Linked DNA regions of Drosophila melanogaster. The gene in region 1 interacts genetically with each later gene. Each region holds a gene or a part of one and is shown in the gene's direction. Other genes may lie near its edges.

Evidence for each region. A genetic interaction does not mean that the proteins touch.
Region 2: of mspo (region 1) and Mp20, changing one suppresses a phenotype caused by changing the other (phenotypic suppression), as found in Drosophila melanogaster (one study listed by BioGRID).

Annotation. Positions count from the first base shown.
Region 1 is NT_033778.4:14,708,789-14,716,568, reverse strand, and holds the start of mspo (M-spondin), read left to right. Parts: upstream 1-2,946; 5' UTR 2,947-3,300; coding exon 3,301-3,757; intron 3,758-7,780.
Region 2 is NT_033778.4:13,242,874-13,250,478, forward strand, and holds Mp20 (muscle protein 20), read left to right. Parts: upstream 1-3,796; 5' UTR 3,797-3,869; coding exon 3,870-3,899; intron 3,900-4,043; coding exon 4,044-4,376; intron 4,377-4,443; coding exon 4,444-4,631; coding exon of another isoform or gene 4,632-4,635; exon of another isoform or gene 4,636-4,886; intron 4,887-5,938; coding exon 5,939-5,957; 3' UTR 5,958-6,007; downstream 6,008-7,605. Other genes in the region: CG4712 (uncharacterized protein), read right to left, coding at 6,070-6,458, 6,528-6,624, 7,136-7,605.

The DNA of each region.
Region 1 (7,780 bases):
CATCGAGACCTTCGGAGTATTTTGATTTTCCGATGACATTCGTGTGCAGCCTTTGTTGTTTCTATGCAGTGGATTTGTTGCGATAAATAAGAATATATGTGCAATGCATGCATAGTTTTTATGCAAATGTGCCACCAAAGCATTCACGATTTCCAGGAGGAAGTGCATCCGACGTACGCCAGATGCATCAACAGTCGCTGCTGGTTGGCATTTTGGTTGCTTTGTGTTCGGCTTTCAATAAAACAGCGACAGCGGAACAGGTGAGGTTGGGCAGGAAAATTTCGGGGGTTTTGGAAAATTGCATACATATGTGGCATGGGGTCTACGGATCCTGTTTGTCTGCACGTCTACGTGTCTGTTTGGCAAATGCCAACTTTATTAGGAATTTTTGCCATTCGCTGGCTCATGAGGCGAGCGTAGAACATTTTTGGGGGCCGCATTTCCACATTTTCCTGCCAATCCATCCGCTGTCCCTTTTGGTTCATGTATTTGGGATTTTACTTTGGCTGAATGGATTATATTCGTATTTTGCCGACAAACAAACACAAATATCTTGTCTGCTCAGGTGGGTGGAAGTGAGAGCGAAACTAAAAACCGGGGAAAACCAGAGAGAGAGAGGGAGAGAGAGAGAGAGAGAGAGTGAGGAAAATGAGAGGAAGAAAACTCATGCGCTGTGCAGTGGAGAGAATTTCCCATTGTTTTCTAAACATCAGTAGTTAATGCCGACATTATTGAAAACCTATATATAAATTATAATTTATAGAGCTCTTAGATTATTTTTGTTGATTTTGTTGATAAGCTTAAAATATTAATCTTAGAATTGTTATAAATTTTTCGCATAAAATAAAATCATTTTTGTTTGTGTCATTATAAAATTTATTCGTTTTTTTCACGATCATGAAGATGGTTTTACAAATTAGTATGTAAATATTATATTATCTTAAACCTATTTTAAAAAGAAATACATAAAAATAAATTTGGAATTAATTTCCATAAATCGAAGTCGTCAATTGTAACTCTCCTGCATTAGGTCACAAACATTACACAAAACGAGCATTAGCACCTCATTTGAATGGATTCCATTAGGGCTTGTGTATTTGTGTATGACGCACTTAACTAATGGCCCGGCGTTTAAAGCCCCATAAAAAGGCCCAAAGGACAGCTGAACAACCTGGTAGTGACCATGTCTAAGACAAATGGCGGACTGTCCGTTTATAATTGACCGCAGGCGGTTAGAGACACGGCCAAGTGGTTGGGGCTACACATTATCGTTGTGGTCGTCGTTCAAGTAGAATGGACAATTATTATTAACTGCAATAAATTTCACGCACGCACAATTTACATAGACTGGGAAAAACGAGGAGCAGTCAATTTTGTTAACTGTGATAACATATAGTGACTTTCGTCACTACGTAGACATGCTGTTCGTTAAATACAGTTGAATAATGAATATATATTATTTTATACAAGATTGATAAAAAATAAATTTAATTTCTTCGAGTGCCGAGAAGTACTCAAGCGTATCGCAGGACACGATCTATAAAGGACACAGGACACGGACATTCGGTCAGGACACGTACAACTCATTTAAGTGCAACATAATTGTGTGTGTCCAAGTTTCGGGAAGCTCCCACCTGAAGACTGCGCTTCCCCGAGGGATGGGACAATGGATCCAGGGGGGGTGGGGGTGGTATAATTGCCACCGGGAGCACATGTCAATGGCAATTACCGGCAGTGAGTTCAAGTGGAGTTCTGAAAGAATGCCGGACCGCTGACCACCACCCCCATACTAAATAAATCGATAGTTGTGGCCGTTGTGTTGCCATTAGCGTGTTGTTTAATTGAATTGTAGCAATTAAAGAGCTTCAATTGGTTTTAATCGGAAATTGTTCTCATTGTTCGAGCACAATGGTAAAAGTCGAGCTGTCGCACACACACACACATGCTCGTTGATAGTCGCAGATTGAGATAGATGTGTGCACACACACACACATATACGTAAATAGTCGTCATTCACATAAGCCCGCCTCATTAACGCTGACATTCAGAACTGGCAGAAAGGAAATGTGCAATAAATGCGACTAAGCCTGTGGAAATCACCAGCAACAAGAGCAACAACAACAACAACAACAACAACAATAATAGCAACAGAAGCGGAGTGGTGCGGAAAAGCACCACACAAGCCACGGTAATCACAGGGGGTTAATCGCAGTTGGGGGTTAAGCCAACAATGGGAGTTCAACTAACGCTCATCTGGGGAAAAGTCAAGTGTTCGGCGGCAGTCAAATTCGCAGTCTCATAAGGGATTTTCGAGTTTCTGTCATTGAACTGCATAAGTGAAGGTTAAAATCCATCAACATAGTACTTAAATAATACAGTAAAAACTATTGGAACTCAAATTAATCATGAAACATAGTAAAATCTTTTATTATTACATAAAAAAAGAAAATTCCTGATGGTTATTAAATTATAAGTAATAGTAGTAATGTTAAATGCTCTTATGTTTATATTTATATGTATGTTTATATTGACGCTTAAAAACTATATTTTAATGAAATCTAAATTGACATAAAAATAGAAGATATTAGTCAGATTATTAAATAAACTATCACTCTCTTTATAATTTAATGTTAGTCCTAGCTGTTAACAGAACAGTAAAAGTTAACATAAAACTTAACATCAACCTAGTGGCACTAAAAAATATCCTCGGGCAACACCAGTTAGCTGGGAGCTCAACAGGCTGTTTCTTTCTTTTTTCTCCGCCTTCAACAACAGTTGGACGATAAGAATTTCCCCAACACGGAAATTTCTTTACTCTCTCTGCCAAAGGATGGTTAATATTCTCCCGCATTTCCGCACTCTCTCTCTCACTCTCAATTTCTGCAGTGCTTCACCGTTGTTCTCTCTCCCATGGGCCATGTTTTCATTGCCTGCCGCAACATTTGCTCAGTCCGCGACGAACTCTCAACGCGGGCGGTTGTGTAGAATCTGTGGCAAGTTCTTGCTCCATTCGCACCCATATCGAATTTATTGAGCTTGCTGCGCGCCAAAAGTCCAAAAAGTGAAGAAAACGCAGAGCGTACAAAGTTGGAGAAACCAAAAATAAATATGTGAATGCCGCGAGTGTGTGTGTGCGTTTATTTTTAAGCGACGGCCCCCGAAGGCAAATGTGAAGTGTAAGCGGCAAACAAAATACAAAAAAAAAGCAAAAAAGATAAGTAAAGAGCGAGAAATATAAATTATATCAAAACAAAAATAGCCGCCAGAAGGCAAGCGAATTAGCACGCAACATTTGACGAAATGGGAGCGACACCGAAAACAGACTTTCCGGCTCACTGGCTGCTGTGTATCCTTCTGGCTCTCGGCTCCTTATCCTCGAAAGCGAATGCCGTTAGTGCTTATGGCGCCTCCTTCATTTCGAACCCATCCATATATGCATACAGTGTCGAAAATCAGCCGGATGAACGCGAGTCCAGGGACAACAACATCAAGTTTGCCGCTGAGCACGGCAATCTGAATTCCAATTCCAATCTGAATCGTAATTACTACTACACCGATGATCCCAGTCCCGTTTCCAATCTGAATCCGACTGCCTCGCTGGCCACGCCTCCCGCCACCCAGCCCGCCCCGCAGACGGGCTGCACCCTGGACCGCCTGGCCGTCTACAAGGTCGTCTTGCACACCTACTGGACCCGGGAGCTCTTCCCCAAGCACTATCCCGACTGGCGACCCACCGCCCAGTGGACCAAGACATTAGGTGAGTACTCCATATGACACCATTATAATTGTTTTTAAATTTTGGTTTTACTTAAGACTATTAACCAAACAAATAAATGCAAGTTGGTCTAGGCTTGTGTATCTAGAAACCATAAACTTGTGATCATAAACTTTGATAATAAAATAATGATTTTTAAAGAAATATAGCACTGATTTAAGAGCGCAAGCTTTTTAGGTTTATAAACATAAATTGAAACGTATTTAATGCTTTAATATTTGTACGCTTTAATTTGCGCCTAATTGGAATTCCAGCAGAATTGCAGCATCAATTTTCGTACAAATATTTTGCGATTTTCCAATTTTTTTAAATTCGTTCAAACAAGCAAATCCAAACCAATTGGGCCCAATGCCCCAGCCAAAATGGGTCAAACATTGTGTGTCTCCCACTCCAGTGATTACTCAATCGTTGAGATGGGGATAAGGATCTCATAATTTGTGCCAGCACAGCAGCCAGGCACCAAATGCCCACAGACTAATTTGTCACAATGCCTTACCTCTCACCTCTCTCCCAATTTGTCAGACATGCATATGTACACACGGATATGTATGGGCATCTACATACGTAAGGAAAATAAATCGAAAAGCAATTTCGCAGCAAGTTGGCTAAACATTTTCGGTTCGTTTTGGTATTTTGGGTTAAATCAGTGGGGTCTTTGGTTTGGTTTGGAAAATGCCTTTGGCCGCATTGGCGTGTCGCTTGTCTTATCAATGTTTTTGCAGATTTAGCTGTCGATTTATAGCACACAGGCACACACACTCGCTCACTCGCTCACACACTCCCACACTCACATTGGTAGCTTGCAGGATATTCAGACGACCCAGTGAGACAAGTAAATCTGACAGCTAAACAACCAAAGCCTGGCCCACATGCAGGGCCAAATAAAAAAGGATAAGCAGGAAGCGGAAAAGAAATGCGATTTGTACGTGCTTATGCGCGATGTGCTGGTCTCAGCGCAAAACGAGAAATTGGATAAAGTTGTTCAATATAAATAAGAGGGAAAGGACCTGCCATCACATAGCTCATTCTTATCCGGGAATTCGAATTTTTGATGTTTTGATTTTAAAGCTTATCGTGAAGAATGGTCGCTCTATATTTTTCTCTCTCATATGAGTAATTAAATGGGCATTACGAGCTATACATCTCTGGGCCATAAACTTCATTCTTTCCCTTGTTGTTTATAGTGTCGTCTGGCTTATTTATAGTTTTTCCTCTTGCGGCAGGCAGTGTGCCACAGTGCGTATGCGTGATTTATGTGAGCACTGCACTTGTGCTTATACTTGCATAAAATATAGCGAAAAGGACTAGTGCCCGTACTTTATCGTAAACTACACTATAGTTTTGCTATTCAGTCGAGTGTTTTTGCTGCTTAACACTTAAAATGCAGTAGAGTGTGCGTTTATTTTGGAGAATTTCTTCAGGTTTCCCCTTAAGAATGCTTGATATAGTGTGAATTATTATTTTAGAAACTTTTTTCTGTATGGGATAAACACAAAAGAAAAATAATCGTTGTTAAGATAGCAACTATGAAATATTCGAAGTACTTGGTATCCATAGAGTTAATTTGTTTTTGCCTTAAAACAAGCTTATCAACTACCAAAATATACATGACACATTTCGCAGAACACTAGGCATTTCACATTAAATATGAACTAATGCCCCCGGACACAATATCCTTCTCGGAATTCTGGAATTCCTGCTACTCCTGTCACTGGCGTCTCAACTTGTTTCCCCTGATAGCCGTTTAGTCCTGGCCAGCGGCACATGCGAAGCTGGTCTGATACTGTTCCCTTAGTCCGAGAACGAGTCCTGGCCGAATCCGGAATGCCATTTGGCATTAAAATTCAAGCAGCAGAGCGGGGCAAAAGGATAGCAACAGAACAAAAAAAAAAACAAAAAAAAGTAAGGAAAAAGCTTAGCAATGCACTTCGACTTGGGGCGGTGGAAAATCGTAGTCGAAGTGGGTGGGCTGGAGGGGCAATGGCTTCCTGCCTGTCATATCCTGTTTATATATAATTTTCAGTGCGCAACTCTAACATCCGTTACATTTCAACTGGTTGGAGGCGGCACAGAACAAAAAAAAAAAAAACAACTAGGAGCACCAGCAAAAAAGGATATACTATATATATGGAGGTCCTTTTGTTTTTGCTGTCGAAGGAGTTTCGCAGCGCAAAATTTATTATGAATGTTCAAAAACAAGCAGCGACAGCGATTGCAGCGCGAGGGAAATGCACTGCCCTCGTCCGCTCGCCTTTTGTGCCGCCAAGTCGCCCCCAATGTCCCAATGCCTGATCCTTTCCCATTCTCATTGCATTTCCCATTCGAGTTTGCTCCTCGGCGAGTTGTTAAATTTCATTTGCCGCTGCCCCGGCGACTGTTGTCGCTGTTTTTATCGCAAATTGAAACCGAAATAAAGTTCGCCTCCTGCTGAATATTTGTTTTAGTCCTGCCATTTTTTCCATTCGCTCACTCCTTGCGCCGCCTTGTCACAGTTTTTGTTTGGCCCAAAACGAAACACATTCGCCGAAAGAAGCATTTTCGCAACAGTTTTATGCTTTTTTGTTTGCTGATAGTTCGGCTTTGGTAGTCGGTTCGTCTCTGTTTTTGCCATTTTTATTGCTTGTCGAGGTTTTTGTTGAGTCAATTCTCGAGCGTTTTGCAAGCCAAAATGAAATGTTGCACTCTGGCAAGTTGCATTTCAAATGACTGCCACGAAAAACGGCCTCGAGGCACTGAAAAAAAAACCTACTAGTTTCTGAGGCATTAACTTTATGCTGTCAGCTTAAATTATTTCATACAATTTGTTCTCTATCTTGAGAGCAATTGTTTTTATAAATTCACCTTAGATGAACAATTTACTTAAGCAATTAAAATACACTTTTCTGAATTACCAAATATTTCTCGCAGTGCCTGAATATGCGATTTATCGGCCAGGGTTCACTTGTTTAGGTCGACGGCTTTTACCGGCTAGATTGCCAAAATTAATTGGTCTACAAATAAAGAGGGAAGTTGATTGAATTTCGGAGGTGGTCGCCAGGTATATCCGATAATCCCCCCGCCCCACTGATCCGTTGTCAATGCCACTTTACGACCCACCACCACGAACATCGCCACCACCATCATGGCCAACAATATTCCGCCCCTCGAAGTGTTCGCAATTTGTGCCGCATAACTTGCGGCCCATTGTCCAGAGTCCTGCCGAGAAGTCCTTGCGGCTTTCAGCTCGTTAATTGCCACGTCCATTGGGGCAATTATCCTGGCTGCTGCTTTCGCCGCTGCCCATTTGTTTTTGACTGCCGCTGCGGCAGGACGTGCGTGCGTTTGTAGTTGGTGTTAAATACTTTCGCCTGCGGCACTTTCACGCCTCGCATTTTATTGTTGCCTCTGCCTAATTTTCAACTTTCTTTTTGCTCTTTTGACTAAATAAATTATCGAGTAACAGGCGGCGCATAAATGTATGCTGCATACACATACATTTCACATGAGCCAAGTACTCTCTTTTGCCGCATATTTAATGCATTTCCCCACAGACAAAAAACATACGGAAAATGCCAGCGAGGCCCTTGTGTCTCTGCGCCTTTTTATTTCATTTTCAAACCAAACTTTAAATGTTTGTAATTTTTTGTTTCAAGCATATGGGAAAATGGGAAGCATAAGGCGCATGTTCGAGCCGAAAATATCGTACGATAAAAATGGCAACTACGGATGGAGGATTATTTCCCAGGAGGATTTATTTTGGGGGGCTTTTGTCTGTTAAGCTAATGGGAAAATCGTGTAAGAAATGGAAAATGTTTTAATCAGCAGACTTAAATGTTTACCACACGTATATATATTTATATTATTTCAAGAAAATGCTCTAGCTATATGTGCCATTAATTTGCTTCGCGCAACTGATAACCATTAGATAAACGGTTTGTGAACCCAGATTACGGCTTAAAGCATTTCGGATTTGTTCCATGCGTATTTTTTTTTTCGGTTAGGGAGTGCTTCGCCTTTATAAGTCCG
Region 2 (7,605 bases), 1.5 Mb from region 1:
CATCAAGGAGAAAACCCTGATGCGGCACACGTTGCCATTTACAAATCGAGTTACAGATGACAGACGACAACTTTTGTGCCAAACTTTTTCCTTTAGCAAATGATGACAGAATGGAGGGTGCAGGTCCAGAACTCCTTGAGCCTACATTGTGCAAATTGATTTAGTGTAAAATGCTGCTTTGAAGTCCGCCTGTTCAGCGCCTGCCAGTCAATTTGTCGAAATGGAAAGTTTCTCGATGCGGGAAAGTGGATGAAACCTCATTACAACAGACTCCTAGTTGCAGCCAGCCAGGCAGCCAGCTTTAAAGTGTTAGCCAGGGAATTCAATTAGGCCAGGCCATGCCAATTCCCCATTGGGAACATTCGGAGGCCAGAAGTCATCGGAGCGTGTTGCTGAAATATTGACAAAGTTTTCGCATTCGACCATTGGGACAAGCGATTTTGGGTTTAGCTTCTCGATTATTACATGGGCCAATATTTGCCGATTTTATTTCGGGTCAAACATCTCGCCTTTGGCCGCTGCTGAGTTGGTCGTAAATTGGAAAGCACAGTCACAGTCGAATTATTGATTAAAAATCCCTACACTTTTCGACCAACTAACCGCCCTCGCACATATAAATTTTGTATTATATTATTTTCACCTTCCTTATTCTCGGCCAGCTGGTGGAGCAGAAAGACCTTTTTGTTGTGGTTAAGTGCTAGGCATCTTGGTTGCGGTCCGGCTGAATTTCTAATTAACCTTTTTTCGGGCTTTTCGGGTGGTGTAGGCGGCGCCACCCGGGGGGGCTTACGTCTCAGGATTTTACGTTTGGGTAAATAATATTGGGCGTAAGCCAAACAGAATAGAAACAGCTAATAAATAAAAAGTTCAAAAGATTCCGCATCGCAATCATTGCTGAATCAAGTTTGGAACAAAAGTATAAACAAAATTCAAATGAATTGTAAAATAGTCTAGAGACTGCACACCTTTTTTTAAGGTATACAATTTAAGCGCTAGGACTTTTTTGATTTTTTGATAAAATCCTTTTTCTATACTATTTTTAATAAGAACTTATATTTTTATTAGCAACAAAGTAATGTGTGTGGAGTCAATAAATAAATTTGTGAAAAGGTGTCAGTTATTGTTTGGCTTATATTATAAGATTTAGATTTAGAGAAGCCGATAATTGGCAAAAGGGGAAAAATTTTAAATACAAAACAAATAATTCCTCCAACATTGTGCTACGAATGTTCTTTGAGCGACAAAGTGAAAATGTTGAGATTTATTTAATTGCTTTTGTCGCAAGGAGCCGAAAAATGTCTACAGAAATTATGAGAAACTTATAAATAACTAGTGGATGCCATGACCGCGGCGAATCGAGTGTTTATTTTCGTTAACAAAATGACGACATTGGGCATGATTTTCCAATTAAATGCTGAGCTTAAATAAATAATGCGTCTATTTATAGACGGCCAACTCACTGGCAATGGGGCACGAGTTGCCAGTATCTGTATTCGAATCAATGTTCTTCGTTTTGTGTTTGTTTATAAATGAAATTGCAGTCTGCAAACTGAAACGCTTGACTCAATTTCCGTTTCCGCCCAGCTTCACTGTAAGCCAGCGGAAGCGGCACAAATGCCAGCAAGTGGTTGCTGGATGGCCCAAGGGCTAGCCGGATCCTTTGGAGCCATTGGATCCATTGGATCCCTTTGGTGCCTTTACTCCCCAACGACCTAATTTTCGCTTGACTTCATTTCGGATATGCGTTGCCATTTTGTGACCATTGTGTGCTGGCCATTTTGCGGAGCATAGGCCGTCGGCCTGGTTGTGGATTTTTTTATGCTGATTTATGGGAAAATAATCCCGGCTAACTTAGCGCCTGCAAAATGGTTCTCCTCCGCCAGGATGTTTGCACACTCGAATCTAATTTTCCTGGCCAAACACATACACAATGCTCTGCTCTGTGCAATTTTGGCACAAACGTTGATGAGGATGTCGTCTGATGAGGATGCATGAGGGACCCCCAGGGTTCGGATAATCATTTAATCAGCCATTTGTTTGAATTGCAATCCAAGGGAGACGATAGTAATAGTACTTTCCAAAACCATCGGGTGTGTGCCATCGCGTAATTGAATTTGATTCTTTCACTTGACGAGCCACACCCCTCAGCAAATGCAATTACAATAATTTAATTGCCGTGAAAAATGGCCGCCCGGCTGCGGGGCATTAATTAAATTTTTGCGAAGACAATAGTCAAAACCCAGCCTGCGGCGCATTTAATTCACTTAAATGGCAACCAATGCGGTTTACTTCAATTCGCCGCGTATTTGTTAATTAAAATAAAAATGTAAGAAAGAAAACGCTCCGTCGAAGTGCCGCGGGCCAAGGAGGCGGTAAAAATAAACGAACACGCCATCTGTTTTTCTCCGCCGTGGGAAAAACAAGAAAAGCCTGGAAAATCTCAACTATTTCGGCTCGGCTCCACCTGTTCGGCGTCGAGAATTTAGAAATAGTCGCGCTACCCATAGCACAAATTCGTCGCGCCTTTTACGTGTATCTCGTAGATTTTCCGACTGTTATCGAAATTGTATCTGCTCTAGCAAAAGATTTTCCCCCATCCCGAAATAGATGTCGCTGTGCGATTTGTTTGTTTGGCTTTCCCCCCCGAAATACTCTAATAAAATATTAATTTTTGTGGGGGGGCACGAACTTTGACAGTTCCCAGTCGCCTTGACTGGTCGCCTCTTCACTTTATTGCCCTCTCGTTAATTTTGAAGGCATGTTTTGCTGATGGCTGTCCTCGAACAAAGTGCTTTTCAATAACACAAGGCACATAATTCAAGTTAATTTCCCGCTCATAAAGTAATCGCTGTCCTTTTTACTTTTTAAAGCTTGCAAATTGCTCCGTCTTTTCCTGGAGACATTATTTATATCCATTATCAGATTATAAATACATTGTATGAATATTTCAATAATATTTATAAAAATTTAAAACATTAGTATGATAGTAGTATGATGAAATTATTTCGAATATTCTCTTAATAAACTAATTGGCATGTTCTAAATTGTGAATATTGCAAAGGATGCTCCTCACATTTTGTAAATCTCTGTAAATTCTGAAGGACGTGTCTTTGGAAGATTTGATTATCAAATATATTTGAAATACCAATTAAATCCAATTTGAAAAACATTTTCAGTAAAAATTAATAAGTACATGTCATTTTTGTAAACTTTTTATGCAGAAAGTCCTTTTAACAAGAAATTGCCATGTCGCTGATCTGATCTGATAACTGTGAATAATTGTGAGGATGTCCATGTCATCATAAATTTCGCTGTAAATTCTGGAGGATGTGTCGCTCGATGGGAACCAATTTGCTGCCATTTTTAATTATGACCCAATGCATGCCGATGGAAATTACGGGCAACGAATGCACGCGCCCGAAATGAGTTCAAAATGACAGCAGGACAGCAAGTCCGAAAAAATGCGGCTAACATGCAAATGAGCAGTACTTTGAAGAGCACAATCTACACACACTCGCACACACACACACACACACATACCATCGATTGGAAATGTGTGAAAATAATGAAGCATTTGGATTTTTCCTTTTTCTCAACCGATGATGATCTAAAATTATAACGCACGATTCATACGCGGGAGACGGGCAAAGTCGGCGTTTCGAATATATAGAACGCCCACGCTGCAAAATTTTCACACACTCGACTCCGAATTCGGATATATTTTTGGAAAATTCTTGAACGAATTCGTCGGAGAACGCTCTCTCGCGCTTTAAAAGCCGCATACGCCCCGTTGGCTGGCATCAGTGTTAGCTTGTCAGAGCTTTAGTGAAGATCCCGCAGGACCCGAAACCAAAAACCAAGAATCAAACATGTCTCTTGAGCGTGCCGTTCGTGCCAAGGTGAATACTCAATCAGTGAAGAAAAAAGATCCTTAAGAAAACATAGATATAAAGGAAAATAGATGAAAGAAATGTGAAATTACCAAACAGTTTTGTGAAATATTGTGCCTAAAATATGAATTTTTTCTTATCCGATCCACCTAGATTGCCAGCAAGCGCAATCCCGAGATGGACAAGGAGGCCCAGGAGTGGATCGAGGCCATCATTGCCGAGAAGTTCCCCGCCGGCCAGTCCTACGAGGATGTGCTCAAGGACGGTCAGGTGCTGTGCAAACTGATCAACGTGCTGTCGCCCAATGCCGTGCCCAAGGTCAACTCCTCGGGCGGCCAGTTCAAGTTCATGGAGAACATCAACAACTTCCAGAAGGCCCTGAAGGAGTACGGTGTGCCCGACATCGATGTCTTCCAGACCGTCGATCTGTACGAGAAGAAGGATATTGCCAACGTTACCAACACCATCTTCGCTTTGGGCCGTGCCGTAAGTTTCAAATCGCCTTCTATCCCATTGTCAGCCAGGCTAATCCTTGAATTGCGGCTCATTGCAGACCTACAAGCATGCCGACTTCAAGGGTCCCTTCCTGGGCCCCAAGCCCGCCGATGAGTGCAAGCGCGATTTCACCGAAGAGCAGCTGAAGGCTGGCCAGACCATTGTGGGTCTGCAGGCCGGTTCCAACAAGGGAGCCACCCAGGCTGGCCAGAACCTCGGCGCTGGCCGCAAGATCCTGCTCGGCAAGTAAGCGCCAAAGGATGGCCAGGATGTCCACACCCTTTTCTACACTTATGCTAAGTGAACACACCCATATATATTTTGTATGATGAAAAACATGAAGAACACAATGATATTCCTCACCAAAGCAAAACTCAACACCAATGAACACACACTCACACAAAACAACACATAAAAGCAACGCAAAGGCTTGTCGCCTTATATTAAGTATACGCCTAAGTTAATCTATTTATGAGTACAATAAAGTAATTCAAAGAACCCAGTTTTCCACTTTCCGATCACCTCTATAACCTTGAGCTCTCTACGTTCTTGCTGCTGTTGTTTGTGTGGGTGTACAGACTTTATTTATCTGCCTATGGTGCGTTCTAAAAATGAATTTCATACCTATAGCCATATAGCTGAATATATATATATACTATATATGCATCATCGTATCAACGTTATAAAGCAAACATAAACACACTCTGTTGAGTGTGTGCGATGTGTGAAACATTCCATCGAAGCGTGTCGAGGTCAGAACATCAGCGTTGGGCAGAGTTATTATCAAGATGGGCATCTCGACACTGACTTTTACATATATTTTATATGTAGCGAAAGGAATTTCCCCCAAACTCACCTGTCCGAGGCGTGAAATTGTTCCCACGAAAGAACACACACAACATTATGTATTGCAGGTGCAACTATGCTGGTGCCAAAAATGAAAAAAACCAGACATCTCTCGCGAATATTTCACGCCTTCAGCTGGCACTTTTCTAATTTCTCGATTTATTATAGTTTGTCAGTGGGTGGAATTGATCTCTGTTGGCTTATTATGCTGAAAGCAAAGAGCAGGAATGGAAGAATCTGGAAATATTTTGTATTAATTGTATGTTAGATCTATTGAAAAAATATGTCTTAGAACGCAGAATATATTCAGCATGGATTTGTTATTAGTTTTAAATGACGCAGTCTGCAAATGAAATATTTTCCTCATTCGTTTTGGCTAATTGAAGTGTACTCAGGTCGTGTGTACAATATTTTAGACTCAAATAGTGCTCAGAAAGGATGATTAAGAATAAAGCGTGCCAATTTCCGAATCGGTATATTTAGAATTTTGAAAATTTCCAACAATTGGTTGCTAGAAATATTAATGAGAACAACCAAACGGTATTTCCCCTTGGTTTTGTTGTTTTCTTCAACATATATATATGGATGGAATAAATAAAAGCAGGCAAATAAATAACAAACTTGACACTGAAAATGTGGGGGATATATATATATATATACATATATATTAATAATGGTTCATTAAGAGATTTTCTCTACCGTTTCAGGGTTATTATTGATGCATAAGCTTACGACTAGGAAGTCTTGAATTTTCCATTGTTTATAGCATTAATAAACGACAAATATTATATTATTTTTGTGGAAAAATGTATTTGGTTGAAAAGTGGTAATAGCCCTATTAAATAATCGAGCTCTTTTTTCGAGGTGACATCAAACTTTGCAGCTGATTGGTAAGTGATTTTAGGGTTTCCCGGAGACTCGAGACCATTTTCTCCTTTTCACGAACATAGGCGACAGTTCGATCGTAGTCATACATCAATGCGGGCATAGCCAGGATACCACCCTGGCATGTCAAATCTCTCATCCGGCGCCTAATAGCCTTGTGCTCCAGTTTTCGGCGACACAGCTCGGATTTTAGTTTATTTTTCAACTTGTGCTTTTCCAGCAGGTTATCTTTAAGAACGTGAATTTTGTTCTTAAGCTCGTGGGACTTCTCTCGATTGTGCTTAGTCATATGCAGTTCGGTGTGGTAGAGCCTGCGCTGTCTTTTTAATTCAATATTTCGCTCTGATGGAGATGATTATTATGCATATAATAATGAACAAATTTTAAGCAGAGATGTTCATAGGACTATACCTTCAATCTTCTTTTCTAGGCCGATCGTTTTGTTTTGCACGGAAATAAAGTCATTCAAGCTCACACCGTCGCAAACCGTTTCTACATCTCTTATTTTCTAAATGGAGATGTTTCAGAAAAGTATGTTGATACAAGTAAAACAATCAAATTAGAAAACATATGAAAAATTGGAAAACAATATTGGTGATAGTAAATATAATGAAAAACTACATGGCTGGATAGTGGGAAGCAATGTGTTGTAAAATATTGTGAATAACTTAATAGCATTATGTGACAATTTGAATGAGCATAACCGGCGGATAACATGGTTGCTAACATAGCATATAACATGTCGGATAACATAGCATGTAACATGAGTTGGCAGACAACACGGCGATTAACATATAATGTAATATGACGGATAACATGGCGAATAACATGAAGGACAACACGGCTGATAAAATGGCGGACAACATGGCGGATAATATAGCATGTAACATAGCATATAAAATGGCGAATGACATTACAAAAAATACGGAGGATAACATGGCGGACAACATGGCGGAAAATCTCTCAACAACGCGTTCAACATCGTGGACAACTTTTTGGACAACATCCTGGATACCTACTTCTAAGATGCGGGCCAAGGTGTGTTTCTGCGACATGAGCAACAGCCGGGCATCGCTAATTTGATTCCGATGGTCGGCCATAAGTCGGAGTTCGCGGGCAACCAGGCGCTTGAGGAAATCGGTCTCGGCGTCCGGACGAACCAGGATGCGTTTTAACGTCTGCTCGAGATGATGCTCCGTGCTGAGAACGATGTTCATGGCGTTGGCGAGGTCCAAAAACGCAGTGGTCATTAGAATGCCATATTTCTCCCTTACCCTGATGAGGCGCTCTTGACCATAGGACAGATAGGTCAGGGCGTGATCAAGGCGACGGGAGTAGGTTGACTCGGCGTTCGGCGTTAGGCGGTCAAAGTATCGGAAGTTTTTCGTGCGTCGGAAGTAATCTACCATTCGCTCCTCCAGCTGTTTGTTATGATCCCTTACACTTGTGTAATCATGCACCTCATTCTGCAGAGCGACCAGCAGCTTTT